Linked DNA regions of Macaca fascicularis. The protein of the gene in region 1 purifies or fractionates together with the protein of each later gene. This does not show direct contact. Links are inferred from orthologs where the notes say so. Each region holds a gene or a part of one and is shown in the gene's direction. Other genes may lie near its edges.

Region 1 (4,597 bases):
GTTGCCCAGGCTGGAGTGCAATGGCGCCATCTCGGTTCACTGCAACCTCCGCCTCCTGGGCTCAAGCGATCCTCCCACCTCAGCCTCCCGAGTAGCTGGGGGCTCCAGGCGAGTGCCACTACACCCGCTAATTATTATTTTTTTGTAGAGACAGGGTCGCATTATATTACCCAGGCCGGTCTCAAGTTCCTGGACTCAAGCGATCCTCCTGCATCAGCCTCCCAAAGTACTGGGATTACAGGCATGAGCCATCGCGCCTGGCCTTAACAAACACTTTTCTTTCTTTCTTTCTGAGACGGAGTCTCGCTCTGTCGCCCAGGCTGGAGTGCAGTGGCGCGATGTCGGCTCACTGCAATCCCCGACTCCCCGGTTCATGCGCCTCGGTCTCCCAAAGTGCTGGGACTGCGGGCCTGAGCCACCGCGCCCCGCCTGAGGTGATTTTTAACAAGTACAGCCGTAGCTGCAGGTATCCTGGTTCTGTAGGAACAATGAGGTATGGATGGATCCATACCTGGACCCATGGATTGGATGGATCCCAGGCAGGCCCTGGACGGAGGGAAATGCTCTGTTGCTAAGCCCGGCATCGAGGGAGGCCCACCCTCAAAGCTAACCGTGGAAGTCACTCCGGCCTCCTTCGCCCTGCCGCCGGGGAACCCTGCCGGTGGCTCTCGACCTGCTCCCGAGCCATCTGGTGACACTGACTTAGCAGCCACCACCTTAATTGGCGCATTCGACGCAAATAACAACCAGGGAACCTGTGGGCGGTCAAAGGCCCGGCTTTGCGGTCGGCCCGCCCAGGCCCCTCTCCTTGCCCTGTGAGGCCAGAAAGTTACTTCTCCGAGGCCGTTCCCCATGACGAGAAGTATCTCCCGCCTGAGGTTCTGTGGGGTAGGGGAGGTTCGTGCATTTCTCACAGAAAAACCTCGCACAGACCCGCGACTGCCTTTATTAACGGCTCTCAGAAGGCTGCCTGCAGCCGGGGGTGTCTCCAGTCCCATGCTCGCGGGCAAGCAGGGCTGAGCTGTGCCTCCGAAAGGGCCAACGGGAACTCCGCGGTCCCTGAACTTCCGGGGCTGGCGGGCTTCTTTCTCCAGGGCCACCGGGAGCCCCGGCGTGAGTGCGTGCCGGGGCCGCGCGCGGGGTCTTTGAGGAACTCCAAGGCTGCCCGAGCCTAGGGAGCCAGCCACATTGGAGATCCCTAGACCGCCCGATTCCACCACCCCCGAGGTCCCCTCACAGCCGGCGCCAAAAACGCCAGTCCCACGGCGCAGGCCGGGACCCGCGCGCCCACGGCCCAATCAGCGCCCGCCTTGCACAAAGCGAGCCCCGCCCCCACGGCACGGCTGCCAGCCCCTCCCCCTCCCGTGGCCGCCTCGGCCCGCCCACTCCCCGCCCCGCGCCGTTCTCGGTTAGAGGCTCGCGATTGGCTCAGGGGGACTGCCGCGAGCTCTGGTTGGTCGGCACGGAGTCACGAGGGCGCCGTCGTCGCCTTTCCACAGGCGATTACTGGGCAGGCTCAGTCTTTCGCCTCAGTCTCGAGCTCTCGCTGGCCTTCGAGTGTACGTGCTCCGGGATCTTCAGCACCCGCGGCCGCCATCGCCGTCGCTTGGCTTCCTCTGGACTCATCTGCGCCACTTCTCCGCTCCACACTCCGCCGCCATAAGCCGCCATCATGGTGAAGCTCGCGAAGGTAAACGGCCTTGAGCGCGAGCGCAGACGTCTAGGCCTGCTCTCCGAGGGGCGAGCGCGGCGGCGCGGGGAGGAGGGCCTGCGCGCAGTCCCGGGCGCGTTCTAGGGCGCCATGCTGCGGGAAGTCTCGCGCGATTAGTGGGGAGGTCTCGCGGCTTCTGGCTAGTTGGTGGCGAGGTGAAGAGCTTCTGCAGGTGCTGGGGGCGGCGAACGCGGCGGGAAAGACGGAGTTACTGAGCGCGGGGAGGGGGCGCTGGGCCCCGGGGTGGGGAGATGAGACCAAACTCCTGCGACGCATACGAGTCGGGACCCGACTCCTGACGCACGTGCCCGGGTGCGCGGCCTGCCACGTGGGCCGCGCCGCGTGGGTCCTGGAATCTCCAGAGGCACCGGTGCCTTGCGCCAGGAAATGGCGGTATACGTCCTAGTCGGAGTCCTGGCCTGGCAAGCCGACACGTGGTGGGCCCCGGAAGGTGGCTCTGCCGCGTGCCTTTTGCGCCGTGTTTCGGGCACGTGGTGGCCTACCAGGTACCCCCACGTGGCCGCGCCGCCTCTTTAAGGGGCGGGGTTGTCTTGCTGGGAAAAGCATAATGTTCATGAGAAAACCAAGGTAGTTACTTCTTACCTTCGGGCGGGTTTTCTGTTTGTGAAGCCCGGGAGGAAAATTGTGGGCGGTTGAGAGTAGTCCATCTTGCATTGCCATCAGGACTCGTTTTGATGTTGTGCTGTTTGGCACTATGAGAAATGGATCTGAGAAAGGAGAGATGATGGCGTTTTACTATGAACAGTAATGGCAAAATATGAATGGCCTGAAATGTTGAGGTGGAGGTGTAATGACCTACTTGTGTCCATTTTAGGCAGGTAAAAATCAAGGTGACCCCAAGAAAATGGCTCCTCCTCCAAAGGAGGTAGAAGAAGATAGTGAAGATGAAGAAATGTCAGAAGATGAAGAAGATGATAGCAGTGGAGAAGAGGTAATTTTATCTAGCTTAATGCAGAATTGTGTTAAAACTACAACAATGGAGAGTTAAGACATGAAATTGGATGTCTGTGGCTAAAATAAGATTTTATTCATCCAGGTATGTCCTATTGTAGTGGTGGTTTCACAAGCTCTTCACTGACATGTCAAGGTGTCATTTGGCTAAGTATTTGAATGTGAGTTTGAGACAAGAGGTCTGGGGATCTCCTTTCCATGTGCCTCTGCAGGGCAAGGAGTGTGATTTGTTGTGTTAAATCATTAAATTTTTCCAGTTTCAACATGTTAGCCTCACCCCGACATGTAGAGCTGGGCATTGTATTCAGATCTGAGGATAACCTTCCCAGATTCCTTTCCTAGCCTCCAATTAAGATTAATTGGTCTCCATTCCATTATATATAAACTTTGTAATTCTACTCACTGCGTTATAGTTATCTTTGGTGTAGACTGAGGGCTGCCACCTCTTTGTGTTAACATTGACCCTCTTTACTCTTTGGCAGTCCTGGCCTTTTATTTGCTCACTGTAAAGACATCTGAGCACTGAATTGTGCTCAGGTTTCTCGTTGAGAATTGAATAAAAGTTTTATTCTTCCACACATTGCCTAATAAAACTATGGGATTTTCATGTAGCTAAACGATGGCTTTTATCAAACTAACATGCTCACTCTTTGATGTGTGATAGTTTTGTAAGGGATAGTTATGTTTAGCCTATTTGATCTTCATTTTATCTCAGGTCCCAAGAATTGAGCTTCACTGGACTCAGTACTGCCATCCACCATAGGAGCCCCAAATGATTTAATACGTTAATGCTTGGAGCCTCCTAGGTGTAAGGTTCTGAATAATTTACGCATAGCAATTCATTATTGTTATACGTGTAATATGATACTATTACCATTTTCAGATGAGAAAGTTGGGGTTTGGGAAAATATGAGGTGCAAGAATTCAGAGGTCTGGTTCAGAGGTATTTTAAGTGTTCAAAAGGGTTCCTTATGGCTGGGTATTCACCTGATAATAAGGGCTCTGACCTAAGACAACATAACAGAAGCCTGGAGTTTAACATGCTAACATGTGTCTAGCGCATGTGGTCTTGAACCAGAAGCATTGCCAGAATCTAACACTCACTGGGACCATGGTTATCCTTTTGGGTGTGGGGCTGGACTTACTGGTTTGGTTTTCATTTATTCTCAAGGTTGTCATACCTCAGAAGAAAGGCAAGAAGGCTGCTGCAACCTCAGCAAAGAAGGTGGTAGTTTCCCCAACAAAAAAGGTTGCAGTTGCCACACCAGCCAAGAAAGCAGCTGTCACTCCAGGCAAAAAGGCAGCAGCAACACCTGCCAAGAAGACAGTGACACCAGCCAAAGCAGTTGCCACACCTGGCAAGAAGGGAGCCACACCAGGCAAAGCATTGGTAGCAACCCCTGGTAAGAAGGGTGCTGCCATCCCAGCCAAGGGGGCAAAGAATGGTAAGAATGCCAAGAAGGAAGACAGTGATGAAGAGGAGGAGGATGACAGTGAGGAAGATGATGAGGATGATGAGGACGAAGATGAGGATGAAGATGAAATTGAACCAGCAGTGATGAAAGCAGCAGCTGCTGCCCCTGCCTCAGAGGATGAGGATGATGAGGATGATGAAGATGATGAGGATGAGGATGATGACGATGAGGAAGATGGTAAGGAGTTGTCTTGGTAGTTACTGGGCTTCTGATTGCAAGATATCTTGAGATTCTGGGATCAACATATTCCACAACAACCTGGAGATGAGAGTAGAGTCCTTGTGGGAATTCTCTGGGCTGTTGTGTGTTAGACTTAATTACCCATGAATGATTTTTGTCCCTCCTGAGAAAATTTCAACAGCACATTCTGTGAGTGTTTTTCATAATGTAGGATTTTGTTTCTTAGTGATCTTTTTTGTTTTGTTTTTGTTTTTTAATT
Region 2 (4,274 bases), on another chromosome or scaffold:
TCCACATTAAATTCTTTTTAGAAATGAAGTTTCACTATGTTGCCCAGGCTGGACTTGAATTCCTGGGCTCAAGGGATCCTCCTGCCTCAGCCTCCCAGGTTACCTCTGAGGTTTATAACTGACGCTATGTTCTTAATCCCTCAACCAGAAGCCTTTAGATGGTTACAAATTTTCCCCATTACAGGCATGACTTGCTAATAATAATAATTAGCAATTATTTCAAAAGTAACCTCACCCCCAAAAAAAGAACGTTTCTGAAAAAATGCACAAAAGACTTGAAGACCCCCAATGGCACGGTTGAACATGGAAATGACTAGCCTCAAAAGCCCCCAGCGCAGGGGTTATTTTCCGATCAAATCGGATGTCTTTCTACAAAATGTGATGTGGAGAGGCTGGGGCTATTACCTTCACCCCAGCCCAGGGGGCACCCTGAGAGGGAGAACAGGGTGGGCGAAACGGGCCAGCTCCTCCCCAGCCCCCCGCCCTGCTCTGCTTCAGGGGCCTGATCTGAGGGCCCAGTGCGCACTGTTTTTCCTCCTTGTCCGACAGTGTTTCCCCCAGGCCAGAACTAGGTGGCTGGGACACTGCGGGGCTCAGGGCGTGCGGGAAGAGACGCAGGAAGTGGGTAGTCCCGTCGTGTCCGCGGAGGCGACCCAGCCCCGACCTTTTCGCAGAGGAAGTGTTATCCAGCCTGGGACCTGGGGGATGAGCAGGGGTTAAGCTTAGGTCCCAACCACTAACGGGACTGGTTGAAAACGGCTCCCAGGCGGTGGGGCCCCCCGCGACGTTCTCAAGGAGTAGCGCCAGGGGACGACGTGGGAGGTGGGGTTCTCACACCAGCGGGCGCACGGACGGCTGGAGGCACCGACCCGCCGCGGACGGGATTGAACTAGGGAACTGGGAGGGCGCAGGAGATAAAGACGGCCGGGACCCACGGAGAGAGGTGGTGCCCAGTGTCCCGCGAGGATGCAGTGCCAACTGGGGAGGGTCCCGGGAGCGGGGACCCAGGCCCGCGCAGAACCACACACGTGGTCTGCACCTCGCCCCGCCCCATCTAAAGAGGCGGAGGAACGCAGGGCGAGGGCAGCGCGGAGGAATATTTGCATAAGGCGGGGCGATTCTTCGGTGGCTTCTGATTGGCTGCCGTCTGCGGCGCGAAGCGCAGTTGACTTGCGCCGCGCTCGCCCAATCGCAGCCTGTCTTGCTCGCGGAGAGAAGAGCTAGGAGCCTCGGCCAATGGGAGGCGGCGTTGTTGGCGGCCACGGCGGCGCAGCCCCAAAGCGAGCGAAGCCAGGGTCGCCGCCAGTGCCGCAGGAGGCGTGAGGTGCGGAGACGCGGGTGCTGGGCCGGTAACGGCGGCTGGGGAGGGCGGCTGGGCCGGGGCGGGCGGGAGGGGCCTCGGGGCCGGCGCGGGCGCGGCGGCGGCCATCTCTGGAAGCCGCGGGGCGGTGGGGCAGGGGCGGGGCCGCGTCCTCGTCAGAGCAGGTAGCGGCGGCCGCGGCGGGCCTGGAGCCTGGGGCTTGGAGCTTGGGGCCTGGAGCCCGGGCCTGGGGCGCTGGCGGGCGGCCCCTCCCAACTCCCGGCGCGCCTCTCCCGGCTGCCGGCCCCCCTGAAGGTCAGGGCGCTTTGTTCTGCGCCGCGGGCGGCCTCCTGGGCGGCGGCCCCGCGGAGGAGGCGAAGACGGCTAGAGGCGGCGGCCGCTCAAATCTCCCGCTAGCCCGGCCCGCCCCGCGTGCGGGGGCCGCGGCGGTTACACGGCCGGGCGCGCCGGAGCGTTCAGGCTTCCCGTTTTTAAGGTGGAGACGTCCAGGACCTCTTTATTAGATGTTGATGAATTTGAGTTTTTCCGTAGGGCGATGGTCATCGTGAGCCTCTGTGGGGTCAGGCTGCGCTAACTGGGGTTTTGATGTCAGTTTGGTGTGGCCGAGGGCATGTCTGACGGGGAAGAAAGTCCTTGGCGTTGCTTCTTAGCTGTTGGGAGCTGTGCGGTGCGAGCGAGATGGGCGGCGTGCGCTCCCCGAGGACTGGCCTGAGTAGCCTTAGACTAGTTACTCGCGGGACTTGGTTTCCCAGCCAAGGTGGGCAGCAAGTCTGTTTACTGTTTAAAACCGTCTTTCACAAGGGAAAAGCAAAATCTCCAAAAAAAAAAAAATTGTACATGTTATGAATGGAAAAGTGCCATGCTTTTCTTTCAGTTCAGAGATGGTGAAAGAGGTCACATTTGTATTTTTTGACCTGACCAGTGTCTTTGTTTTTTTCAATTTTCCCCTTCTAAATGCTTTCCGTTCACCCCAGCGAAGGATGGCCTGGTCATGATAAGACTTTTCACCGTCCACAGTTCACTAAGTCTGATTGCGGGGCAGGAGGCAGACAAGTTTAGGGTCCAGGAAAGGGGACTCCAGCCTTGGGACCTTTAGACCCTAACGTGTGTGTCACATCACCTGCCTGAGTGACTCTGCGCTCCTCTGGCAGGAAGGTCCGCCATTTCATTATGTTCTCGGCAGAATCGTCGGGGCACATTCATCTGTGCTGTTCACATACCCAGTCTGCATTACTTTTTCCTGTAGTAATCCCTGTCTCATCTTCCTGCATTAGGTGTACGGTATAAAATAGACTTTTAAAAGTTATCTTACCTTAAAAATATACAAGTATGTAGATGAGGTTGTTGGACCTTAAAGGTAAGTCTTTTTAAGTTACTGCCTTGCAATAGGAACTATATCTCTAAATGACTAATACCTGCACTACGCACCAGGGACTCCTTCAGCCTGTTTGCGTGTATTAACTCATTTCGTAATCTAATAACTTGTGAGATAGATAGTATTGTTTTTCCATTTAACTACTCTGGAAGCTGAGGCCCTAGGAGGTTACGTATAATGACTTGTCCAAGGTGATAAAGCTTAGGTAAAGACTCAGGCAGTTTTAACTTTACCCAGGGTTACTGCTTCTGTAGAGGGAATGAAAGAATTTTTAATCAGAAGTTGTTTTCATCATTGTACTAAGCCTCACTGAACTCTAGCTTACGAGGTTTTGAGCTGGTTGATCATTTCCATCTCAAATTATTCCACAGCATGCCAAATGCCTCCTGTAGTAGAATTTTGAGATTCAGACCGGGATGAGCAATTACTAATAGAATAAATAATATGCAAATGTAAAATGAAGTTAAGAGAAAGGAACGTGGTGATAGAATCGGGATATATTCCAAAGATAAAATGAGTGACTACAGAGAGAGAGAAAAGTTAGTTATTTAGTAGTAGTTCACAAGTTTACTTAGAGACATTTTTACTAGAATTTTAGGGCCTCATGATGTGATTTTTATGGACCGTTTTAACACGTTACTGCTCTTTTTTTTTTTTTTTTTTTTTTTGAGACGGAGTCCCACTGTATCGGCAGGCTGGAGTGCAGTGGTGCGATCTCCGCTCACTGCAGCCTCCGCCTCCCGAATTCAAGCAATTCTCCTGCCTCAGCCTCCCGAGTAGCTGGCACTGCAGGCGCCCACCACCATGCCCGGCTAATTTTTGTGTTTTTATTAGAGACGGGGTTTCACCATGTTGGCCAGGGTGGTCTCGATCTCTTGACCTCGTGATCCACCCGCCTCAGCCTCCCAAAGAGCTGAGATTACAGGGGTGAACCACCGCGCCCGGCCTACTGCTGTCTTAAATAGCTGTTATTACATATCCAGTTGCAGCCTTTTTTTTTTTTTTTCTGGTTGAGCAGTGTTATTGCTTCAGAATGTCTGCAGTTATTTGTGCCTATATGTCATGGCATCTTAACACTTTTGTGAATTTTGTTTTGTAAGCTTTAAATCCGGTACTATTTTTCAAAATGAATATGGAGTAGTCATTGGAGAAATTGGTTGAATTCTTTGCAGTAGCAAATAAATTGTATTCATTTTTAAGTTTGATAACCTTGGTAAACTGAATTCTGCAAAGTTTACACGTGTTTTAGGATCCCCTCAAAATGTACAGGGCATTGTGTTTTGCAAAATAGCCATTTAGCCATCAGATTCTTCTGTAGAATTTTGATCTTTTTGCCCATGTGCGAGGTAGTTCTTATTTGTATGGAGATTAAGTACCTGCGGATGGGATATGTTCATCACCACTTTACAGTATGAATTTGAACTTGAAACTGAAGTGAAAACTTTTCTGTTAACCTGTCAGAGTTTTTAGTAGCCTCTTGTTATTGACCACATATTAATTCCCTATGTTAGTTATTCGAAGCTAAGTGTGGGGACTGAAATCTTTGTTTTTCTTATTTTGAGCAGTTGATAGTCTCTA
Region 3 (4,381 bases), on another chromosome or scaffold:
CCAGAGAGGGGAGAGCCTGGGTTGACATCTTTCAGCTTCCCCCTGCTCCACTCACCTCCTGCCTCCTGGGGCACCAGATGTGCAAGGTGAATGTTTTCATTTCACTTTCTAGAACAGACAGCAAAGCAGAGAAGCGGTTGAGAGGGTGAGAAGGTGCCCCAGGGGCTTGGGTACAAAGGGATTGGAGTTGAGCATGTGGAAATTCAAGGTGAAGGTTAGCCCTGACCTCCCCCCAGGGTTAGGTCCTCTCTGGACCACAGCCCTCTATACACAGCTTCTCAAACCAAGAAGCAACGGTGACCAGTAAGTAGCACTTCCCCTCCCCTGCCATTGTAAAAGGCTTCTCTGATTTAATAGACCGTTTGGTCCCACCACCTCCACCTCCCACTCCCAAGAAAATTCTTCTCCATAATGGCATCACAATGTACCCAGTTATTTAGGTCCCAAACCTGGCATCCCCCTCATTTCCTCTTCCCCGACATCCAAATCCATCACCCCCCCAACCTGCTCCACATTAGCCCAAATCTGACCTGTTCTCATTTTCCCTGGGTCCAGTTCACCAGTTTCTAAATGGTCTTCCCGTGCTTCCACCTGCGCAGACCTACAGTCCATCCCCCACACAGCAGCCAGCATCATCTTGTTAAAATGTAAATCAGATCCAAGCCTGACCCTGCATTAAACTCACCAGTGATTTCCCATCACCCTCAGAATGAAATCCTAGCCCGGGGCCCATGCAACCTTGCTTCTCGCCAGCCTCAGCCCCTCCAGCCCTGGACCTTTGTAAATCGCAAGGCTTGGGATTTCGTCCCCTTAGATACTTGCAGGAGTGCGGGGAAGGGGGGCCCTTCTTGTCACTCAGCTCTCATCCCAAAAGCCACTTCCTCACAGAGGCCTCCCCTGACCAACCCCTCAAATCATTATTGTAGACCCTATTTAATAGTAATTAGCCGTGTTTTTAACGGGTGATGTATTCACGTTCCAGCGTTTAAAAAGCTCCTGCAATTAGAATTGCATTCCTAATTCTCTTCATAATTATGATCCTTTTTAATGCATTTGGCTCCGTGTTCCTCCACGAGAGCAGCGGCTTTGTTCCGACCGCCTAGCACGGAACGCAGCAGGAGCCCAGTAATTGTTGAATGGCTCAACGTTCGGAGCGCAGGGGCCGATCGGGGACGAGGCGGATCGATGTGCTACACCTCGGTTTGTTTCCGAGATGGGCCCTCAGCAATGCCCCCAAGGGGCTCCAAAGGGGCAGATGCCACAGCCGCCAGGAAAGTACGGGTGTGAGCAGAAGGCTGGGAAAGACCACGCGCCGCTCAGCTAGGGACTTCCGCTCAGAGCTAAGGCGGAAACGCCGCTTTCCCTGGCCCCGCCCCTTCCCCGCCTTTCGGGGGGGTCATCCGCCCCGGCCCCGCCCCTCTCGGTGGCCCCGCCCCTCTTGGTTTCCCCGACCCTCCAGGTTCTTCCGCCTCCGCGCCGACACTACCGGTGCGCATGCGCCATGCCCTGACCTGGAAGCTGCTGGGCCCGGGGCACACGTGTTTTGTGTTTCGGTGAGTGTGGCGGGGATGGGGAGCAGGGAACTCGCCGAGCCGCTGTCTCCTGGAGAGGCGACGCAGAGTGGCGCCCGGCCTGCCGACCGCCATGGCCTATTGAAGCACAGCCGCGAGTTCTTAGACTTCTTCTGGGACATTGCGAAGCCTGAGCAGGAGACGCGACTTGCGGCCACGGAGAAGCTGCTGGAGTATCTGCGCGGCAGGCCGAAGGTGGAGTGGCGGGGTCTGGGGCAGGGGCCGCGCATATCCCGGCAAGGAAGAGGCGGCGGGCCAGGGATTTGGGACGGGGGGCACGTGGTCGCGAACCTAGATGCCAAGGTGCGCGGGGGCGTGCACCTTGTTTCACCATTGAACACGAGGGTGCGCTTGGTTCTGCAGGGGTCCGAGATGAAATATGCCCTGAAGCGCCTAATCACGGGACTCGGGGTTGCGCGAGAAACAGCCCGGCCGTGTTACAGTTTGGCCCTGGCACAGGTGAGGTGGTGCTCCTGGCAGGATCCCAGCCATCCAGGTCAAAACGGTGGGGTGTGAGGAGGGCAGGTGTGGTGTATCAGCTGCGGCGGAGGGGCAGCCCGAGAGAGAGGTAGGGAGTGGCAGAGTTGATTGGAGGCCAACCTGAGGGAGGTCTCCTTACATAAAGGTGGAGAAAGTGTGAGCAAGGCCTGGCCAGGTTTTCTATTTGGTGCTTGGGTTGCCCGGCCTCTTAGGTACACTTGCTGGGAGCAGTGCGCGCTGGGTGGGCTCCCTTAGGCCTGCAAAGGCATTCAGCTGATTGCAGTAGACCACCCTCTGAGGAGCCTTGACAAGGGGAAGAACAATAAAGACCCAGGCCTGCAGGATCAGCCTGAGGGGAGCTCAGACCAGGTGTGGAGAGAAGACCCAGTGGGTGAGAATTTCAGACGAGCAATCTAGGGGCTATAGAAGGTACTTTTGTGCTGGGCATTGTGGTTCATGCCTGTAATCTCAGCACTTTGGGAGGCTGAGGTGAGCGGATCACCTGAGGTCAGGAGTTCAAGACCAGCCTGGCCAACATGGTGAAGCCCCGTCTCTACTACAAATACAAAAATTAGCTGGACGTGGTGGCGTGTGCCTGTAATCCCAGCTATCCAGGAGGCTGAGGCAGCAGAATCACTGGAACCCAGGAGGCAGAGGCCGCAGTGAGCCGAGATCACGCCACTGTACTCCAGCCTGGGCCACAGGACAACACTCCATCTCAAAAAAAAAAAAAAAAAAGAAAAGAAAAAAAACAACAAAAATTAGCGGGGCGTAGTGGTGGGTGTCTGTAATCCCAGCTACTCAGGAGGCTGAGACAGGAGAATCGTTTGAACCCAGGAGGTGGAGGTTGCAGTGAACCGAGATCGCACCACTGCACTCCAGCCTGGGCAGCAGAGCGAGACTCCATCTCATAAAGTACTTTCAGAAGCCCTGGTGGAGACAGAGCAGGGGGATGAGACTTGGTTCCATGTGAGCAGCTCCAGAGGCGTCCTTGGGGTGGGACTAGGGACCTGAGGCTTCTTGGGAGAAGTTGAAAGGGGAAAGGAGGTTAAAGTTTGTGAAGATGTAGCTGGGCCACTCTCCTGAACCCCTCTTCCTCCTGCCACACAACTGCTGGCAGCTGTTACAGTCTTTCGAGGACCTCCCGTTGTGCAGCATCCTGCAGCAGATACAAGAAAAATATGACCTGTGTGAGGTGAAGAAGGTAAGTGGATCCAGGGACGTCAGCAGCCCCAGGGGTGGGAGGCTTGGGGAACGGGGAGTCCCAGGGCCCCTCATGCCTGTGCCTGGAATCCTTTTCTAGACAATGCTGAGACCTGCTCTCTTTGCAAACCTGTTCGGAGTACTCGCCCTCTTTCAGTCAGGCCGGCTGGTGAAGGTAAGAGCTTTGGAGGGGCTGGGGGAATGTAGGCTGACTTGGAATGGGTAGGGGACAGTAGTGTGCCCTGTTCATACCCTCTGTCGTTCCGTGGGGACCAGGACCAGGAGGCCCTGATGAAGTCCGTGAAGCTGCTGCAGGCCCTGGCCCAGTACCAGAACCACTTGCAGGAGCAGCCCGGGAAGGCCCTGCTGGACGTCCTCTCCGAGGTACGAGCTCACCCGCTGTGCGGGCTCGGCCAGCGCTTCCCGTTACAGAGACATCATCGGGGCTTGGATGAGAGTCTGGAACAGCATTGTTCCATAGAAATACAGAGATGTATAATTTGAAGTGTTTCAGTGACTTAGTCGAAAAGGTAAAAAGAAACAGGTGTCATTTAGTAACATTTTACTTCGTCTGGTATATCTAAAATATTACTGCAGTATGCATTGGTATAAAAAACCGTTGAGGTATCTTACATGCTTTTTTTTTTTTTTTTTTTTGAGACGGAGTCTCGCTCTGTCACCCAGGCTGGAGTGCAGTGGCACGATCTCAGCTCACTGCAAGCTCCGCCTCCCGGGTTCACACCATTCTCCTGCCTCAGCCTCCCGAGTAGCTGGGACTACAGGCGCCTGCCACCTCACCCAGCTAATTTTTTTTGTTTTTTAGTAGAGATGGGGTTTCACCGTGTTAGCCAGGATGGTCTCGATCTCCTGACCTTGTGATCCGCCCATCTCGGCCTCCCAAAGTACTGGCATTACAGGCGTGAGCCACCGGTCCCAGCCTCTTACACACTTTTTGTCAGGTAGTCTCCAGAATCCAGTGTGTATTTTACACTTAGGCACATCCCTGTTCAGATTGGCCACCTTTGAAGCGCTCAGCAGCCCCGTGTGGCTGTGACTACTGTATTGGGCAGTGCAACTCCAGAACTGTGCCTGGCGCGTCACAAATATATAAAACGTTTGCCTTGTTA
Region 4 (4,455 bases), on another chromosome or scaffold:
GTTGGCGTACAAGCTGAAGGCCCTGGAGGCTTGTCTCTTCCCGGCCTGCCACATCTGAAGTAAGGAAGATGGGCATAGGTATTGTGGGACTGTTGGTTCTAGACCCTGTTGCCTATTTTCCGCTTGATTTCTACATGGTTCTAACTGGACAACCTGGGGCAAACATCACCAACACCAACTCCAGAACATGGGACATACCTAGGTATACCTTTCCACCTGCAGAAGATTCAATCATGCTTACCTGATCTGCCACCTGCCGGCTCAGCTGTCCCTTAAAGCCTTTCATGCCCAGGAACTCTCCATCCTCTTCTTCAGCAGCAGCTGCATCAGCTGCATCAGCGTCTACTTCTTCCTCGCGCAGGCGCTGATGCAGCTCACCCATATCCTCGAAGCTAGAGCCTGAGGTATCATCCATGTTCTCCATGTCAATCACAGCTGAGCCTCCGCCCTGTGAAGACAATGGCTCCTAGAGTGCAGGACTTTTCTGTTCCATCCATTAAGTCCTCTGCTCATCCCAGGGTTTAGGGCTTTGTTCTTCCACTGCTGAGGATACGGCTCGGAATCACTACAGATCATGCCACTCCATTCCCCCTCATATGCTCTCAGAACTCTTGGTTTCTAGCTTTGGCTGAATTTTCTAGCCTGGGAAACATACTACTAGTCTTCCATTCCTGTCTTTTTCCTACCTTACCTACCAAAGACTAAAAGGCTGAAAAAGTGCCCATTTCCTTCTTTCCTAAGCCCCAAACAAAACTATACACATAATATGTTTTCAGCGAATGCCAGTGAATCCCCACCCAACCCCACTCCATGCCTGACCCCGACCAACTTCCTAACTTGTTCCAAGAATACCTTCTTCCTAATGCCTCGAGCGGGCCCAGAGACCCGAGACCCTCAGGCTGGAGTACTAGTCTGGCCCTTTCAGGTCAATGTTAATCCTACTGACTTTAGTGTGCACGAAGACCCAAAGAAGAGAGTTTTGCAAATGGAGCGGACTTCCAGGCCCACAGGGAGAATCCTCAAGACACTTCTGGACATCGCTGGCCCTCGGGTTGCTGGCAGCTAGTGCCTTGGGGCCATTACCTGGATGTTTTCTTCGAACCCTCCCCATTCCGGGCCAGCTCCATTTCGGGCGCCGCCCGCCGGCGCCGCTGTAGTTGCCATGTCCCTTGAAGGCTCCCGTCGCTGAAGCCCGCGCTAGCCCCGCGCGCGGAGGAGTGGGCGAGACGTGGGCCTTAGTGAGGGAGACGTCCCGGGTCGAGGAGAGGTGGGATCGGCCGGAACACAAAAAAGAGAAGCCCGGATGTTTGGACAAAACCAACTTCCGGAGGCTGGGGACGTGGACGGAAGCGGGGAAAAGTCTCGCGATATTTAAGATTCCAGGCGGTGGCGCGTTGCCACGGAGACGGAGCCAGTCTACTAGGACGCACGCGCCAGATAGAGCCTCCAGTCTCGTGGAGAGATTGAAGATGGCGGCTTCTCAGGCGGTGGAGGAGATGCGGGGCCGCGTGGTTCTAGGGGAGTTTGGGGTTCGCAATGTAAGCCTTGTGGCCTTGAGCTCGGGCGGGAGGAATGAGAGCGGAACAGGGGTGGGTCTTGGGATTGGCGTGGGGATAGCCGTGGGCTCATTGTCCCTTTGTGGACAAACTCGTCCCTTTGCTCTAGGTCCATACCACTGACTTTCCCGGAAACTATTCCGGTTATGATGATGCCTGGGACCAGGACCGCTTCGAGAAGGTAAGTGGGGCCGAAGTTGTCTGGGGAGGGTTATGAAGGCCAGACCCTGTGGCCTGAGCAGCCTGTGTCTGTCTCAGCAGCTGCTTTTGGGGGTCGCTCCGTTTGTGTTTGTTGAGCAATGTGCTAGACGCTCCGTTTACAGGCCAAATTAGACACGGTTTCTATCTCTGCAGAGATATTCCGTCTTGTTGAGGAATGGTGCGTATAAACAAGTGCATCTAGTGTAATATGGTGAAGGTGGTTGATAGCGATGAAGACGGCAGGGTTGGGGTGGGGAGCATTCCGCTGAGACCAGGAAGAGGGGCCGAGAGGTACTTAACATTTCAAGAGGAGGGGACACCTGAATTGAACCTTGAATGGTAAGTAAAAAAAAAAACAGGAGTTGAATTATGAAAGATTTGAGTTTCACGTCAGTGAAGTTCAGGATATGCAGGTTTTGTGTGTATTTAGTCTTTTGTATTATTGTTTCACTTAGCTTAAAATAAGGGTTAAAATTGCATTTAAATAGATTACTGAATGTTACCCTTTATGCAACTGACCTAAATGTTACCCTTTATGCAGCTTATAAACATGATGTGTAAATCAGTGCCTGGGAAAATTTTACTTTTTTAACCTGTTGATACAAGGAATAAAGTATGAACAATGAAAAAGGCTAATGCTTGAAAAAAAATTATGACTTCTGTGACATGTGCTCCGGGAATGTCCAAGTAGTTCTGGCATGAGTGGTCGGCAAGATTGAAGTGTGTCACACTGTGGATGATAGGGAGCTTGAATAGTTTCTTAAGCAGACATGATCAGATTTGCAACCTTGATGGCTGGGAGGGAATGAGTTTGAGGAGGATCATATGGAGCAGGCAGATCTGTCGTAAGGGAAGCTGAGGTTGAAGATATGAACTAAGACTGATGGTAGAAATAGAGCAAAGGAAGAATATAAGGTAAATTTATGATTGCTTGGATAAAGGCTGTGGGGGTAGCATAAAATGACTTTTTCTGGCTTGGGAACTGCTTTTTGCTTTGTGGTATCATTTACTAAGAGGAGAAATGGGTCTGGGGAACAGGGATGATGATGCATTGTTTTCTGTATGTGGGGAAATCTAGCAGGCTAGAAGACTGCATGCTTGAAATGAGATCAGAAGTGAGATAAAATTTTGGGAGTTGTCAGAACAGATAGTTGCTAAAACTGTTAGTACAGTTAAGGTGACCTGGGAGAGAGACAAGAACCTGGCAAATTTAGAGATGGGTGGAAGTTGATCATCAGAGATGGAAGAAGAGTGGAGCTCAGAAACCAGGGGAATCGTTCAAAAAAGGGGATTTTTTTTTTTTTTTTCCTTTTCATGAGACACTCTTATCTCCCAGGCTGGAGTGCAGTGGTGCAATCTTGGCTCACTGCAACCTCCGCCTCCTGGGTTCAGGCAGTTCTCCTGCCTCAGCCTCCCGAGTAGCTGGGACTACAGCTACGCGCCACCATGCCCAGCTAATTTTTTGAATTTTTAGTAGAGACGGGGTTTCACCATGCTGGCCAGGCTGGTCTCAAACTCCTGACCTTGTGATCCGCCCCTCGGCCTCCCATAGTGCTGGGATTACAGGTGTGAGTCACCGTGCTGGGCCCAGAGGAGGTTTTTTAATCAATGTCAAGCATAACAGAAGTCTAGTAAGAGGACTGGGTAGTGTCAACAGGACTAAGCACTATGGTAGTTTCTGTTCTTTAGTGGAATAGCTTCTGTGGATGGTTTGGTTGGAAGCCATATTGCATAGGGTTTTAATGAATGGACGACAAAAATGGAGACTTTTTATGAAACTAAAGCACTGGGCGAGAAAGAATATTTAATAAGGGACATCTGGGCAAAGGGAGGTTTTTGGATGAGAGGATAATACTTGAGGGAATTATCTAAGGGGGAGGTATGAAGAGATATTACAGAGAGAGCAGGTTTCACTTAAATGTTTTTCCTGTCCCTCTAGAATTTCCGTGTGGATGTAGTACACATGGATGAAAACTCACTGGAGTTCGACATGGTGGGAATTGACGCAGCCATTGCCAATGCTTTTCGACGAATTCTGTTAGCTGAGGTATTGGCAGGCATGGTGACAAGGCTGGAGTTGCTTTGGGAACTGCACTGACACCTCACTTGGAGAATTGTCTCAAGCTGTCCTTCCCTCATTTTTCCTGGAATTTTGCTGAGCATTTTACCTTCTCATTCTTTGTAAATTTCTCATTAAACATTCTAGGAAGAGAGATAGCTCCTTACCTCTGGAGGGTGGGGTTGTGGGGATAGGTAGGGGGTCTGTTGGGTTTTTGCAGATAAGTGGTTATTTTTCCTTGGGCAGGTGCCAACTATGGCTGTGGAGAAGGTCCTGGTGTACAATAATACATCCATTGTTCAGGATGAGATCCTTGCTCACCGTCTGGGGCTCATTCCCATTCATGCTGATCCCCGTCTTTTTGAGTATCGGAATCAAGGTAAGAAAATGAAATTTTGGGAGAAGTGGACTGTCTGGGTTCAAATCCTGGTTGACTGTGATGTTGGGTAAGTTACTTATGTTTGTACATCAGTGTTTTTCATCTGTGAGAACACTTGCCTTGGCTTCCCAAGTTTGCCGTAATTAAATGGGACACATATGTAAAGCATTCAGCATAGTGCTGGCACTCAGATGTTTACTAGTTCTTTTTTTTTTTTTCTTTTTTTTTTTTTGAGACGGAGTCTCGCTGTGTCGCCCAGG
Region 5 (4,334 bases), on another chromosome or scaffold:
AGAGAAGCAGATTTGCTCAGGAGTGAGGGACACGCTGGGCCTGTGGGCCAATTTTGGGTTGATCCCAGAACCCCTCACCCTGCCCCTGGGGTCCAGTCCTGTCCCTCAGCCCCTGGCCCTGCTGTGGGCTGGGCTGCTTCCTGGGTCCCCACCCGGCAGCTCCTCCTTGATCCCCCTGCCAACCCTAGGGGAGGGCCTCCTTCAGCAGCCCCTTCTCTCCCCTATGAGCAGCAGCGGCCACAGGACACCCCTTCCACCCTCTCCTGTCTCTTTCTCACGATGTCAACCCTGCCAGAGCCCCTGCAGGGTCTAGGAAATACCCCACCTCCCAGTCCTGACTGCAAGCCTCTCCCACCCACTGGGACCCCTGCCTTCACCTCCTTGCTGCCTCCTCATCCACGGCTTCGCCTGTGCTCCGACAGTGCTCACTCAGCCAGGGGCTCTCTCCTGAAAAACCTCTTCCCCACCACCCGCCGCCCCCAGCCTCGGGGTCCCACCCCTTAGGGACCCGATTTCGCGAAGCCCCTCTCCCCAGCATGTGCCGCTGGACACCCCCAGTCGGGCTGACTCTTTCCAGCTCAGGCCCCCACTGCCCCTCCCAGTTTCCATTTCTTGCTCCTTCCCCACCCACCTCTCCCGCACAGAATTTGGTCAGGGTACGGTCCAGTCTCCTATTATTCGTTCTCCCCGCAGCATGTGACCCAGCCCATCCCCGCTCCTTCTTCCTCGCCCCGGGACCCTCCAGCTTGGCCCTCCCCACTTCCTGGGCCGGCCGGCCCTCACCCTCGGCAAGGATCCCCGGGCTCCTCTCCTCGACGCCCGACCTCTCCAAGGGCCTACAGTGGACAAGGTCCCCGCGTCCAGCAGCGCCCGTCCATCAGGGAGACGGTCATCTGCCACCTGCAAACCACGACGTTCCACGAGGGGGTACAAGCGTCTCCCCTGCCCATCTCCTGCTCTGCATCAGCGAGAACCCCTCCGCCTACACGAAAGCCCCTCACCAGGCAAAGCCGGGAGCCCCAGACTCCGTGGCCCGGAGTGGGTCGATCTGTGACGCCCTGCACAGTTCACTCAACCACTCGGCGCCTCCTCGACCACTCAGAGAACACTTGCCCTCCCGGAGACCCGGGTGAAAGCCGAGCACTCTTTCGCTCCTTCAGAGCCCGCGCCAGCAGGACCTCGCGCGCCGCGTCTCCCGGTGCGCCTGCGCGGGGGCCCCAGCGGCGGAAAAGTAGGCAGGGCCGGCGGCCACTGGTGACTACAAGCCCCGGCGTGCACCGCGCTGGACTGGCCGTGGCGCGCCCGGAAGGTGTCGCGGCCCTGGGCCCCGCCCCGGAAGATAAGGCGGCTCGCGTACACCGCGTTTCCTCTTTCGGCCGCGCTAGTGAGCTGGTAGGTCGTGCATGCGGCGCTGCGGCATGGGCAGTATCCGCCGCCATCCTCCTCCTTGAGGCGCGCTGAGACGCGGGCCGGCCCTCCTGAGAGGATGGCGGTGCGGACGCCCGCGGAGAGGGTAGGGGGTGGTGCGTGCGGCGGCCTTGGAGGCGGGGTCCCGGAAAGCCGGGCTGGCGGGGGTGCCGGGTCCACCCGGACGCGCTAACCGTGAGTCGCCCCCAGGACCCATCGCCATGGGCCGTGTGATCCGTGGACAGAGGAAGGGCGCTGGGTCTGTGTTTCGCGCGCACGTGAAGCACCGTAAGGGCGCTGCGCGCCTGCGCGCCGTGGATTTCGCCGAGCGGCACGGCTACATCAAGGGCATCGTGAAGGTGCGGAACGCTGGCCAGGGCGGGGCGGGAGGGGACGGGACTCCCGGCCGGAACGCCGCACTTACGCCGCCCCTGCCCGCAGGACATCATCCACGACCCGGGCCGCGGCGCGCCGCTCGCCAAGGTGGTCTTCCGGGATCCGTACCGGTTTAAGAAGCGGACGGAGCTGTTCATTGCCGCCGAGGGCATTCACACGGGACAGTTTGTGTATTGCGGCAAGAAGGGTTAGCATCGCAGCGGGGAAGGAAGGTCGGGGTGGGGAGAGGTCTGGGTGTTGTCTGAGGAGTTAACGTCTTAAACCGGTGTGGGAACCTCGCAGGCAGAAAGTTGGGGTGGGCCACCGCGTGGCCAGGCCAGTGGCTACGTTGGGCACCGGTGGGTACTCAGAGAGCTGCACCGGGAGGCTGGATGTTGAATGCTGTGCTCGCAACTTCACGGGCTGCTTACAGCGAGTGGGGTCGCATTACCTCTTACCGCGCTGACGGCCTGATGCTGCTTCCCCTTGCAGCCCAGCTCAACATTGGCAATGTGCTCCCTGTGGGCACCATGCCTGAGGGTACGATCGTGTGCTGCCTGGAGGAGAAGCCTGGAGACCGTGGCAAGCTGGCCCGGGCATCAGGGAACTATGCCACCGTTATCTCCCACAACCCTGAGACCAAGAAGACCCGTGTGAAGCTGCCCTCCGGCTCCAAGAAGGTTATCTCCTCAGCTAACAGAGCTGTGGTTGGTGAGTACCAGGCAGTAGTTGAATGCTGAGGGCTGTTGGGTGAACAGGCTGTGAGCGCCGGCGGACAGCCAGTGGCTAGACTTGGTTCCTGGAATTACCTGTTGTTTCAAAATTTGGGTTTTGTAAGTTTGAGGTTATTGTGTAGTCTCAGTTTTCGTCACTGTAAAATGAACACGATAGTACTTGCCTTGCTGCTATTGTGGCGTTAAATGAGATTAGGATTAAGTCACTTGGGACTTGAATTCTAGTTTGGGCTTCCTGATTGCTGTACTTGGTTAACAGCCTTTTCAGATAAGGCAGGGAGAGATTTGTCACTTTCTCAAAATCACCTACTGAGTGAGTGAAGGAGGATTTGAGTCTCGGTTAACTCGCTGTGCTGTTGGGAACATCTTGGAATCCTTGTTACAAACTCAGCCTCGCACAGGGGAGGCCCTGAGGTTGTATTCCTGGAATAAGCAACGCTGAGATGGGGCAGGCTGAATCAAGTGTCCTGTGTCAGGTTGAGTGACATGTCGGATGTCTCAAACATGGTGAGGGGGTTGCTTCCCTGCGCTTGGAGCTCAGCCAGCATTCTGGGTGATGGAGGTGAGGGCCTTGGCTTGACTGCCCAGTGTGGATTGAAGAAACTGGATGTCGGCTCACAGGGTGCAAGGGGCTCTCTAGGGTGGAGGCAAGTGGGCTTTTTGCTGGGTAGTTGGATGTAGTATTGTGAAGGTGCATGACAGGAGATTGAGGAGAGGAGGTGGGGGTGCTCTGACCGACTAGAGGTTCCCTGAGGTACCTGATCTCCTTTACAGGTGTGGTGGCTGGAGGTGGCCGAATTGACAAACCCATCTTGAAGGCTGGCCGGGCCTACCACAAATATAAGGCAAAGAGGAACTGCTGGCCACGAGTACGGGGTGTGGCCATGAATGTAAGTAACGCAGAAATGCAGGATTGGGTATTCAAGGTACCATGGCCACACGAGTAGGCAAGTCCCATCCACAGGTGGCCCTGCAGGAGGGACATCTGCAGTGGGAGGAGCAGTGGGTGGTGGTTTGTAGTCACAGGACTGTTGATCTTGCTCCAACCCTCCTGAAGGAGGTGGGCTCACCCGCATTCTAAAGCCATCTTCCTCTGCCTACAGCCTGTGGAGCATCCTTTCGGAGGTGGCAACCACCAGCACATCGGCAAGCCCTCTACCATCCGCAGAGATGCCCCTGCTGGCCGCAAAGTGGGTCTCATTGCTGCCCGCCGGACTGGACGTCTCCGGGGAACCAAGACTGTGCAGGAGAAAGAGAACTAGTGCTGAGAGCCTCAATAAAGTTTGTCTTTATGCCACCAGGCTGTGCCCACCCCCATAGTTTCAAAGGGAGGGGTCCCTGCTGGGAGGATTTCTGTGGGATCCCCCTCGTTGGTACTGGGAGGAAGGTAGACTACTGGAGTAGACCACCAATGAGTGGTGGAAGCTTGACGGAAAAGTCTACAACTAGAAGTGAGGTGCAGGTACCCTGGGCAAGACCCTTGCTTCCCCACAGAGGGGACCAAGACACTTAGGTGGGTGACTCAGTACCATGGCTTGCAGTGCTTGGATGTAAGCACTCATTTCACGTATGACGAAACTGAGGAACAGGAAACAGGACACAATCATGAGCCTGGTGTTCTGGACCATACCCTCACTCTGCCGGCTCACTGCTAACTTGCTCAGCACCTGAGGCGTTCCTTTGCCCACGGTCTTATGGCTACATCGTTCCCCTCCAGACTGGGTACAGTCCTGCTGATGTCAGTGTGTTTTTGTAAAGTCACTGCCAGGGATACCGGGCTTGCAGGTGTCTGTCTTGCACTGAGAACTTGGGATGGGC
Region 6 (3,815 bases), on another chromosome or scaffold:
AAGCATTCTCATTCACTTTGATAGCTTCATAGGCCACCTTTATTTTGATGACACCCCCAAATCTGTAACTGTGTCTCCATCCTTTCTCCTGAGCTCCAGTCCAGTATTCCAGATGCTAGCTGCATAGCCTTCAGATATCTTACCAGGAAGTGCCTAAATTAATGTAGCATTCATACCTCCTTTTTTCTGCCCTTTCCCCAGCTCATACAGTGGCCACTGTGTACTGAATAGCCCATCTATAAAGCTGAGCTTTAATTTTTGTCTTCCCTTTGCCTTCTTGTACCATAGGTGTTCCCAATCCCTGTCAATTCTGTCTCCCTAATTTCTCTCAAGTCTGTCCTGTCTTGGTCTCCAGGGCCTCTAGCATAGTTTATGCCTTCCTCCAGATGTTCTTAATAGCCTCTTAACTGATCTTTTTGCATCTAGATTCTGTTTTTCACTTTGTGTTCTACAGTGGCACCAGACTGGTCTTTCTGTAACTAGGCTCTGCACATGTTGGTTACTGGTTAAAAAACCCTTAGTTCCTTCCCATGGCAGTGTGAGTGGTCTTAAAAGCCTGGTGCACAAGATGATTCCTTGGGTTGCAGAAAGTGAATATTGAGAACTCTTATTTATCTTAAGTGGAAATGAAATTAAGCCTTACTAATAATACATAGATTAATGGTGATCCAGTGTATATCATAAATAAATATGTATGTGTTGAAGATATGTGATCAAATTCTTTTTTACTGAGTACACAATCAAAAAAGTTTGGATACCGATCAGGCTATAGGGTTAAAGTCCAGACTCTTTAGCCTGACCCTTTATGGTTTCCCCAGTGTGTTTCTCTATTCTTGTCTCCCATACACTCTCCAGCAATATCAAAATAACTTGCAGATCCCAAAACACACCTTGTTTTTGAAGCTGTATGCCTATACTGCCCTCATTGCTCACTACTTGAGACTATTGCTTATCCTTTATGATCTAGCCTAATTGTTACCTCCTTTGTGATGCTTTCCCCAACTCCCTTTGTCATTGTTCCCAAAAACACTTAATTTGCCTTTTAGTGTGGGAGTCACTCATTTGTATTGAGATTGTGCTTGTTCCACTAGAATGGGTCCCTTAACAGTTGACTTTTAGTAGTGTTTAGCAATAGCACACTGAGCACACCCAATAAATGTGTTCTGTAATTTGCATTTCTGTAATTCAGTAAAAATTACAGTCAAACAGAAAAGAAGCTTATAGGTTGAAGTAGCTAGAATATTTTACAATCTGGATTGTTGATGTAATATAGCATAGAAACCTATGAACTCACGGATTGCTGTCCTTTATATAGTTTTTGTTACAACTTCTCAATTCTGCCATGGTAGCACAAAAGCAACCATACACAATATGTAACTGAACGAGCATGGCTGCTGCAATAAAAGTTTACTTATGGACACTGAAACTAGAATTTCATGTAATTTGTATGTGTCATAAAATACTCTTTTTTTTTTTTTCAAGCATTTAAAAATGTAAAAACCATTCTTAGTTCCCAGCTATGCAAAAAACAGGTAGTAGGCTAGATCCAGCCCTTAGGCTATAGTTTTTCAGCCCAATAGTTTAGGCTGTAGAAGATTGCTTGTTTTGTAGTTATTATGAAGAACATTTAGATTTAATAGCAGAAATTGTTTGCCCCAACAGGTCCGTTTTTTATCTGATCTTGTGAATTGCCATGTGATTGCTGCCCCGTCAATGGTTGCCATGTTTGAAAATTTTGTAAGCGTAACTCAGGAAGAAGATGTGCCTCAGGTAAGAGAACCCCTCACGCTGAATCTTGAGGGGCTCTTGAGGGGTTACTGAATCCTGGTACTTCCATATAGTACCAGAAATCTTTCGCTGATAATCCATTAGCAGTAAAGAAAAAACAGCAGACTATCACACTGTAAGTTCTTACTATCTAAAAATTAAGTTGACTGGCACACTGGTGGGTTCTCATAATATCTGTATGTTGATTTAAATGATGCTGTCCAGTAAGATTAGAACTAATATATCTGGAAATGCTCTGTATAAACCAGATGTCATAAGTCCTATTAAATAGCTTCCATAGGATTTCATTCAAGAATAAATAAAATATGAATGAATATAATTAAAGCATATTTTAAACTTAACTTTTTAAAAATCCTTTAGGTGCGGCGAGATTGGTATGTGTATGCATTTCTGTCATCTTTGCCCTGGGTTGGAAAGGAGTTGTACGAAAAGAAAGATGCAGAGATGGACCGCATCTTTGCCAACACTGAAAGCTATCTTAAGTAAGGGCACAGCTCATAGTACTCTTTGTTGCTTAGGTAAAGGATATCTTATATCAGTGATATCATTTGAGTTTCTCAAAAATAAGCTGTAGAGTTCCTGAAGGTATTTTCTAGGTAATCCTGTTCTCCTGCTGTTTTAACTCACCGAGACCTCAAAGTAATCAGATATGGTTTGCTTACTTTTGCCAGTGCACAGGACAGTTGGTAATATAGCTTCTTTTAAGCTGCTTTTATATGTTTATAAAAGACATAAAACACCCTAGTGCAATAGTTCCTCAAATATTAGCGTGGATAAGAATTACCTGTGGTACTTAAATGCTCAGACCCCAACCCCCAGACCTAATAAATTATACAATTTGAGAGAGAGGTTTGGACATCTGTATTATTAACACATTTCACAAGTGGAGAACCACTGCCCTAGCACATACAATGTGTTTATTTCATGTAAATTAATCCTAAATTAAGCTCTTAAAACAGTGGTCCTTAACCTTCCATCCAGGCAGTACTTCTTAAGTAATATGACACATTTCAATTAAAATAATCACATGTCTTCCCATTACCCATCTCTCCCAAGCCGATGTAAAAGCTTGGTTTAGATTGTTAGATACAATGATAATAAATAGGTCTTTTTAGTAAATTTATGCTTAACTATCCAGCAACATGGTAATGGTTATGTGGCCCTTAAGTTTTTACAGATTGATTTTATTGTTAAATTTCACTTTCTCTTTTTTAAGTACTTTTTTGGATAACTGTTAATAGCTACTTAGTTGATTATTAAGTAAAGTTAAAAGAAGCTTAAAAAATAAGAATCTTTTGGCCGGGTGCAGTGGCTCATGCCTGTAATCCCAGCACTTTGGGAGGCCGAGGCGGGTGGATCACCTGAGGTCAGGAGTTCGAGACCAGCCTGTCCAACATGGTGAAAACCCATCTCTACTAAAAATACAAAAATTAGCCAAGCGTAGTGGAGGGTGCCTGTAATCCCAGCTGCTCGAGAGGCTGAGGTAGGAGAATTGCTTGAACCCAGGAGACGGAGTTTACAGCGAGCTGACATGGTGCCGCCAGTGCACTCCAGCCTGGGCGACAGAGTGAGACTCTGTCTCAAAAAAAATCTTTTGTGTGTGTATACATATCTTTTCTCTTTTTTATTCAAGTGATAGCCCAATATACACACTGTTCTTCACTTGGCTTTTTTCTTTTTCTTACTATAACTTGGATTTGTTGCATAAAAATACTTCATAAATCTTTTTAATAGTTGTAGGGTATTTCACTTTTTAATGTACCATAATTTCTGTAGTTACTGTTGGTGGACATTTAGGTTATTTTCAATCTTTTGCTATTATAAACAATGTTTCAGTTAATATCTTTGTATGTCTTTGTGTACACGTGCAGATATATTTATGGGGGATATAAATTTTTAGAAATGGCATTACTGGGTTGAAGGTTCTAAACAGTTTTAATTTTGATAGATTTAGTCAAATTACCTTTCAAAGAGATTATACTCTCCCAAAGAGATTATACCAGTTAACCTCTTTGTCAACGATGTTT
Region 7 (3,815 bases), on another chromosome or scaffold:
GTCTGATCACACTCTAGGAGCCGGGCACTACTCTGAGCACTTTGCATACATTCAAGTATTCCATGTTAAGCCCCCAGAAAGTAACTCCTGTAGTTCTGCCCATTTCCCAGCTGGGTTCCCAGGGCACAGGGTGGTCCTAGCTTGCCCGAGGTCCCTGCCATCCAGTGTCTCCTCCCCCGTGCACCTGCCCACACTGCGCTTCGATGCTTCTTGTTTGTTCTAATGCACAAAAATTGTGTAAAGCAAAACACAGCTTTGCCTTTCTCCACTGGAGAATTGAACATAAGCAGAGATCTAAGCTACTTCTGCCTTCCAAAACAAAAAATTGCATTTCTTAGTTTGATTTGGGTGTGCCAAGGTGCATCGTTGGCCTGCCATGTCCTTGCTGGTATTGACAGTAACCGAGGGCGGCACTGGCCTTGAGCTTTTTGGCCTTTGTATTGCACCACCTTTCCCTCACGGAATTTCCTGTCTAGCCTCCCCTCCTGGAGGAGAACGTGAACTAACAAATATTTAACTATGGCTTGTATTTTAAAAATTAAATACATATGTCTACAGAAGACAGAAGGGATTTCTTTATGAACATTTGATACTTTTTTTTAATTTTTTTTATTTTTATTTTTTATTTTTAGATTCCAAGACCTCTCTGAAGGTGAGGTGCTCCGAGAATCATCATTCACGGTGTTTTTCATGAATATGGACCCCACTGGGGGCGTTGATGCCAAATGCTGAGAAACAAGATTGAAAGAACTTTACTGAAAACCTCTAATAAGAAATAATAGTCCTTAGCCCAGGCAAAATAGCGAGGCCTCATATCTACTAAAAATGAAAAAATTAGCCAGGCATGGTGGCATGAGCCTGTAGTCCCAGCACTTGGGAGGCTAAGAGGGGAGGATCACTTGAGCCCAGGAGGTCCAGGATACAGTAAGTTGTAATCACGCCACTGCACTCCAGCCTTGGTGACAGAGCAAGACCCCAACTTTTTTTTTTTTTTTTTTGAGACAGAGTCTCACTCTGTCACCCAGGCTGGAGTGCAGTGGCCGGATCTCAGGTCACTGCAAGCTCCGCCTCCCGGGTTTACGCCATTCTCCTGCCTCAGCCTCCAGCGTAGCTGGGACGACAGGCGCCTGCCACCACGCCCGGCTAGTTTTTTGCATTTTTTTTTAGTAGAGATGGCGTTTCACTGCGTTAGCCAGGATGGTCTCGATCTCCTGACCTCATGATCCGCCCATCTCGGCCTCCCAAAGTGCTGGGATTACAGGCTTGAGCCACCGCGCCCGGCCAAGACCCCAGCTTTTAAGAAAGAAAGACTAGCCCTTACCTAGTCATACCACAGTACAGCCATGGGAAGTGACACAAGCCTAGGGCCCCCTGCAGCTTGCCCACCTTCCTATCCTGGGCTCTCCCCTAACCGCCAAAGTGAGAGGGCAGACTGCTCTCATGTGTGGATACTGCGATGTTTTGGTTTGGTTTTTATTGTTTTAACTAGATGGATTTGCAGTGGCCTAGGAAGGTTTTAATTGGATACTCTGTGAAGGTAAAATGTAATTTCTCAGGATCCCTTTCATTTGCTGTTACGTTTGGACAAGTCAGTGAAGTCACCCCATACCCCTCATGCACTAGGGACACTTGGAATTGGGAAGGGCACCAGTGAGCTGGTTGGAATGCAGAGACCACATTAGCCAGGCCCCCAGAGTCCAGCCATGGAGGGTGTCACCGAGGGCTTGTGATCCCTTGCCTTGGTTGAGAAACCCACAAAGCTTTTTTAAGTCTGTAATTCCTGTGTCAGCGGCGCTCAGGTTTGGGTGGGAGAAACAGTGAGGAACGATCATGATGAGGCAGAAATTGGGAGGGGGCTCTTAGGCCCCTGGGGCAGACTCTCGAGCGCCTGGGGAAGCTGACAGTGTGTCACTCTGGCATCTAGGAAGCAGTATATCTCAACTGAGTTTTGCGGAGGACATTTCTGCTGATGAAGATGACCAAATCCTCCGTCAAGGAAAGCATAAGAAGAAAGGAAATAAACTTTTAGAGAAAACTAACTTGGAAAAGGAGAAAGGTAAGCTGTGAAGCTGAAGAGAAGGGCCCTTCTCTTGAGGGCTCATGACTGAGCCCTTGGGGAGCGGCGTGCACCACGGAGGCATCAGAGACTGGAGCTCATGCCGTCACAAAGCATTAGCAGAGCCCAAAGCTTCGGTTTGTAATGGCTGAGAGGTAAAGGTGGTTTACCAAGTGTTCTGCTGTTTCGGTGGAACCATGTCCCCACCTCACCCCGCTCACGTCCGCCTGCTCCCCAGGGCACCTCTGCAGGGAAGCAGGAGCTGCAAGGAGCACAAGGGGGGCAGCTGTTTGATGACCAGTCTAGATCTATGGTTTTTACCTTTGGGCCCTAAAATTAGTGGAAATCGGACTATTTCAGTTCTATGTGTGTTTATAAATGGACAAAAGGAGGGCTTCCAGTCACAGTTGGGAGTGGAGGAAGTAGGACCAGACGACAAAGGTAGTGGGCACACTGAGTACCTCAAGGGAGACAGAAACTCTCCTGGTGGTAGAATGTCAGGAAATTGTGTCCGCCAATCATACTGTCTCAGAATCACCAGCAGGACTCTGGCCCAGCCGGCACTGGGAGGCTTATTGATGGGTTTCTGTGTTTTTAGGAAGCAGAGTGTTTTGTGCAGAGGAAGAGGACAGTGAAAGCAGTCTTCAAAAGAGAAGAAGGAAGAAGAAGAAGAAGCACCACCTGCAGCCTGAAAGTCCAGGCCCAGGGGATGCAGCCCCGTCCCTGGAACAGAACAGGGGCAGGGAGTCTGAGGCCGCTGAGCCGAAAGCCCTGAAGGCACGTGTGGCCGAGCCAGGCGCAGAGGCCACGTCCAGCACCGGGGAGGAGAGTGGCTCCGAGCATCCTCCAGCCGTCCCCATGCACAATAAAAGGAAACGACCACGGAAGAAGAGTCCAAGGGCCCACAGGGAAATGTCGGCATCAGCAGGGTTGCCCCCAGAGGACATGTCTCAGAGTGGCCCCAGTGGCAGTCATCCTCAGGGACCTAGAGGGTCCCCAACAGGTGGAGCCCAACTCCTAAAAAGGAAGCGGAAGCTTGGAGTTGTCCCTGTCAATGGCAGTGGCCTGTCCACGCCTGCCTGGCCTCCACTGCAGCAGGGAGGCCCTCCCACAGGCCCCGCGGAGAGGGCGAACAGCCACACCACCCTGCCCCAGTGCAGGAGGCTGCAGAAGAAGAAGGCAGGGCCTGGCAGCCTGGAGCTCTGTGGCCTGTCCAGCCAGAAAACAGCAAGCTTGAAAAAGAGGAGGAAAATGAGAGCGATGTCAGACCTGGTAGAGCACAACGGGGCGCTGGAGTCCGAAGCCAGGCAAGCCCAGGCTCTGGTAAGGTGGGAGCACCCGCAGGCCAGCTCGCCGCAGAGGCGCTCAAACGCGTCCGGGGGGCTCCACTGCCTCCTGAGAGGAAGGGTGGGGGCTGGCAGCCAGGTCTCTGGACTCAGCAGCAGTTAGAATAGGGCATGTTCGGCCGGGCACGGTGGCTCAAGCCTGTAATCCCAGCACTTTGGGAGGCCGAGACGGGCGGATCACGAGGTCAGGAGATCGAGACCATCCTGGCTAACACAGAGAAACCCCGTCTATACTAAAAATACAAAAAACTAGCCGGGCGAGGTGGCGGGCGCCTGTAGTCCCAGCTACTCAGGAGGCTGAGGCAGGAGAATGGCGTGAACCCGGGAGGCGGAGCTTGCAGTGAGCCGAGATCGCGCCACTGCACTCCAGCCTGGGCGACAGAGCGAGACTCCGCCAAAAAAAAAAGAATAGG

Evidence for each region.
Region 2: the proteins of NCL (region 1) and NAP1L4 fractionate together in Homo sapiens (co-fractionation; 3 studies listed by BioGRID). This does not show direct contact. The link is inferred for Macaca fascicularis from reciprocal best matches to the Homo sapiens genes NCL and NAP1L4.
Region 3: the proteins of NCL (region 1) and MYBBP1A purify together in Homo sapiens (affinity purification with mass spectrometry; 3 studies listed by BioGRID and IntAct, with this or other methods). This does not show direct contact. The link is inferred for Macaca fascicularis from reciprocal best matches to the Homo sapiens genes NCL and MYBBP1A.
Region 4: the proteins of NCL (region 1) and POLR1C purify together in Homo sapiens (affinity purification with mass spectrometry; 3 studies listed by BioGRID and IntAct, with this or other methods). This does not show direct contact. The link is inferred for Macaca fascicularis from reciprocal best matches to the Homo sapiens genes NCL and POLR1C.
Region 5: the proteins of NCL (region 1) and RPL8 purify together in Homo sapiens (affinity purification with mass spectrometry; 3 studies listed by BioGRID and IntAct, with this or other methods). This does not show direct contact. The link is inferred for Macaca fascicularis from reciprocal best matches to the Homo sapiens genes NCL and RPL8.
Region 6: the proteins of NCL (region 1) and NCBP1 fractionate together in Homo sapiens (co-fractionation; 3 studies listed by BioGRID and IntAct, with this or other methods). This does not show direct contact. The link is inferred for Macaca fascicularis from reciprocal best matches to the Homo sapiens genes NCL and NCBP1.
Region 7: the proteins of NCL (region 1) and RRP1B purify together in Homo sapiens (affinity purification with mass spectrometry; 3 studies listed by BioGRID and IntAct, with this or other methods). This does not show direct contact. The link is inferred for Macaca fascicularis from reciprocal best matches to the Homo sapiens genes NCL and RRP1B.

Annotation. Positions count from the first base shown.
Region 1 is NC_088386.1:127,382,558-127,387,154, reverse strand, and holds the start of NCL (nucleolin), read left to right. Parts: upstream 1-1,531; 5' UTR 1,532-1,672; coding exon 1,673-1,690; intron 1,691-2,546; coding exon 2,547-2,663; intron 2,664-3,854; coding exon 3,855-4,335; intron 4,336-4,597. UniProt on the Homo sapiens protein: Nucleolin is the major nucleolar protein of growing eukaryotic cells. It is found associated with intranucleolar chromatin and pre-ribosomal particles. It induces chromatin decondensation by binding to histone H1.
Region 2 is NC_088388.1:2,908,687-2,912,960, reverse strand, and holds the start of NAP1L4 (nucleosome assembly protein 1-like 4), read left to right. Parts: upstream 1-1,248; 5' UTR 1,249-1,349; intron 1,350-1,475; exon of another isoform or gene 1,476-1,796; intron 1,797-4,274. UniProt on the Homo sapiens protein: Acts as a histone chaperone in nucleosome assembly.
Region 3 is NC_088390.1:4,642,488-4,646,868, reverse strand, and holds the start of MYBBP1A (myb-binding protein 1A), read left to right. Parts: upstream 1-1,508; 5' UTR 1,509-1,568; coding exon 1,569-1,766; intron 1,767-1,934; coding exon 1,935-2,030; intron 2,031-3,171; coding exon 3,172-3,255; intron 3,256-3,354; coding exon 3,355-3,429; intron 3,430-3,530; coding exon 3,531-3,638; intron 3,639-4,381. UniProt on the Homo sapiens protein: May activate or repress transcription via interactions with sequence specific DNA-binding proteins. Repression may be mediated at least in part by histone deacetylase activity (HDAC activity).
Region 4 is NC_088378.1:128,003,605-128,008,059, reverse strand, and holds the start of POLR1C (DNA-directed RNA polymerases I and III subunit RPAC1), read left to right. Parts: upstream 1-1,448; 5' UTR 1,449-1,469; coding exon 1,470-1,538; intron 1,539-1,665; coding exon 1,666-1,737; intron 1,738-3,696; coding exon 3,697-3,804; intron 3,805-4,062; coding exon 4,063-4,195; intron 4,196-4,455. Other genes in the region: protein YIPF3, read right to left, coding at 1-54, 242-448, 1,084-1,164. UniProt on the Homo sapiens protein: DNA-dependent RNA polymerase catalyzes the transcription of DNA into RNA using the four ribonucleoside triphosphates as substrates.
Region 5 is NC_088382.1:154,500,509-154,504,842, reverse strand, and holds RPL8 (large ribosomal subunit protein uL2), read left to right. Parts: upstream 1-1,366; 5' UTR 1,367-1,392; exon of another isoform or gene 1,393-1,513; intron 1,514-1,617; 5' UTR 1,618-1,628; coding exon 1,629-1,766; intron 1,767-1,848; coding exon 1,849-1,990; intron 1,991-2,274; coding exon 2,275-2,493; intron 2,494-3,290; coding exon 3,291-3,406; intron 3,407-3,619; coding exon 3,620-3,778; 3' UTR 3,779-3,813; downstream 3,814-4,334. UniProt on the Homo sapiens protein: Component of the large ribosomal subunit. The ribosome is a large ribonucleoprotein complex responsible for the synthesis of proteins in the cell.
Region 6 is NC_088389.1:60,479,056-60,482,870, reverse strand, and holds part of NCBP1 (nuclear cap-binding protein subunit 1), read left to right. Parts: intron 1-1,662; coding exon 1,663-1,770; intron 1,771-2,148; coding exon 2,149-2,270; intron 2,271-3,815. UniProt on the Homo sapiens protein: Component of the cap-binding complex (CBC), which binds cotranscriptionally to the 5'-cap of pre-mRNAs and is involved in various processes such as pre-mRNA splicing, translation regulation, nonsense-mediated mRNA decay, RNA-mediated gene silencing (RNAi) by microRNAs (miRNAs) and mRNA export.
Region 7 is NC_088377.1:3,393,037-3,396,851, reverse strand, and holds part of RRP1B (ribosomal RNA processing protein 1 homolog B), read left to right. Parts: intron 1-632; coding exon 633-652; intron 653-1,924; coding exon 1,925-2,056; intron 2,057-2,654; coding exon 2,655-3,379; intron 3,380-3,815. UniProt on the Homo sapiens protein: Positively regulates DNA damage-induced apoptosis by acting as a transcriptional coactivator of proapoptotic target genes of the transcriptional activator E2F1.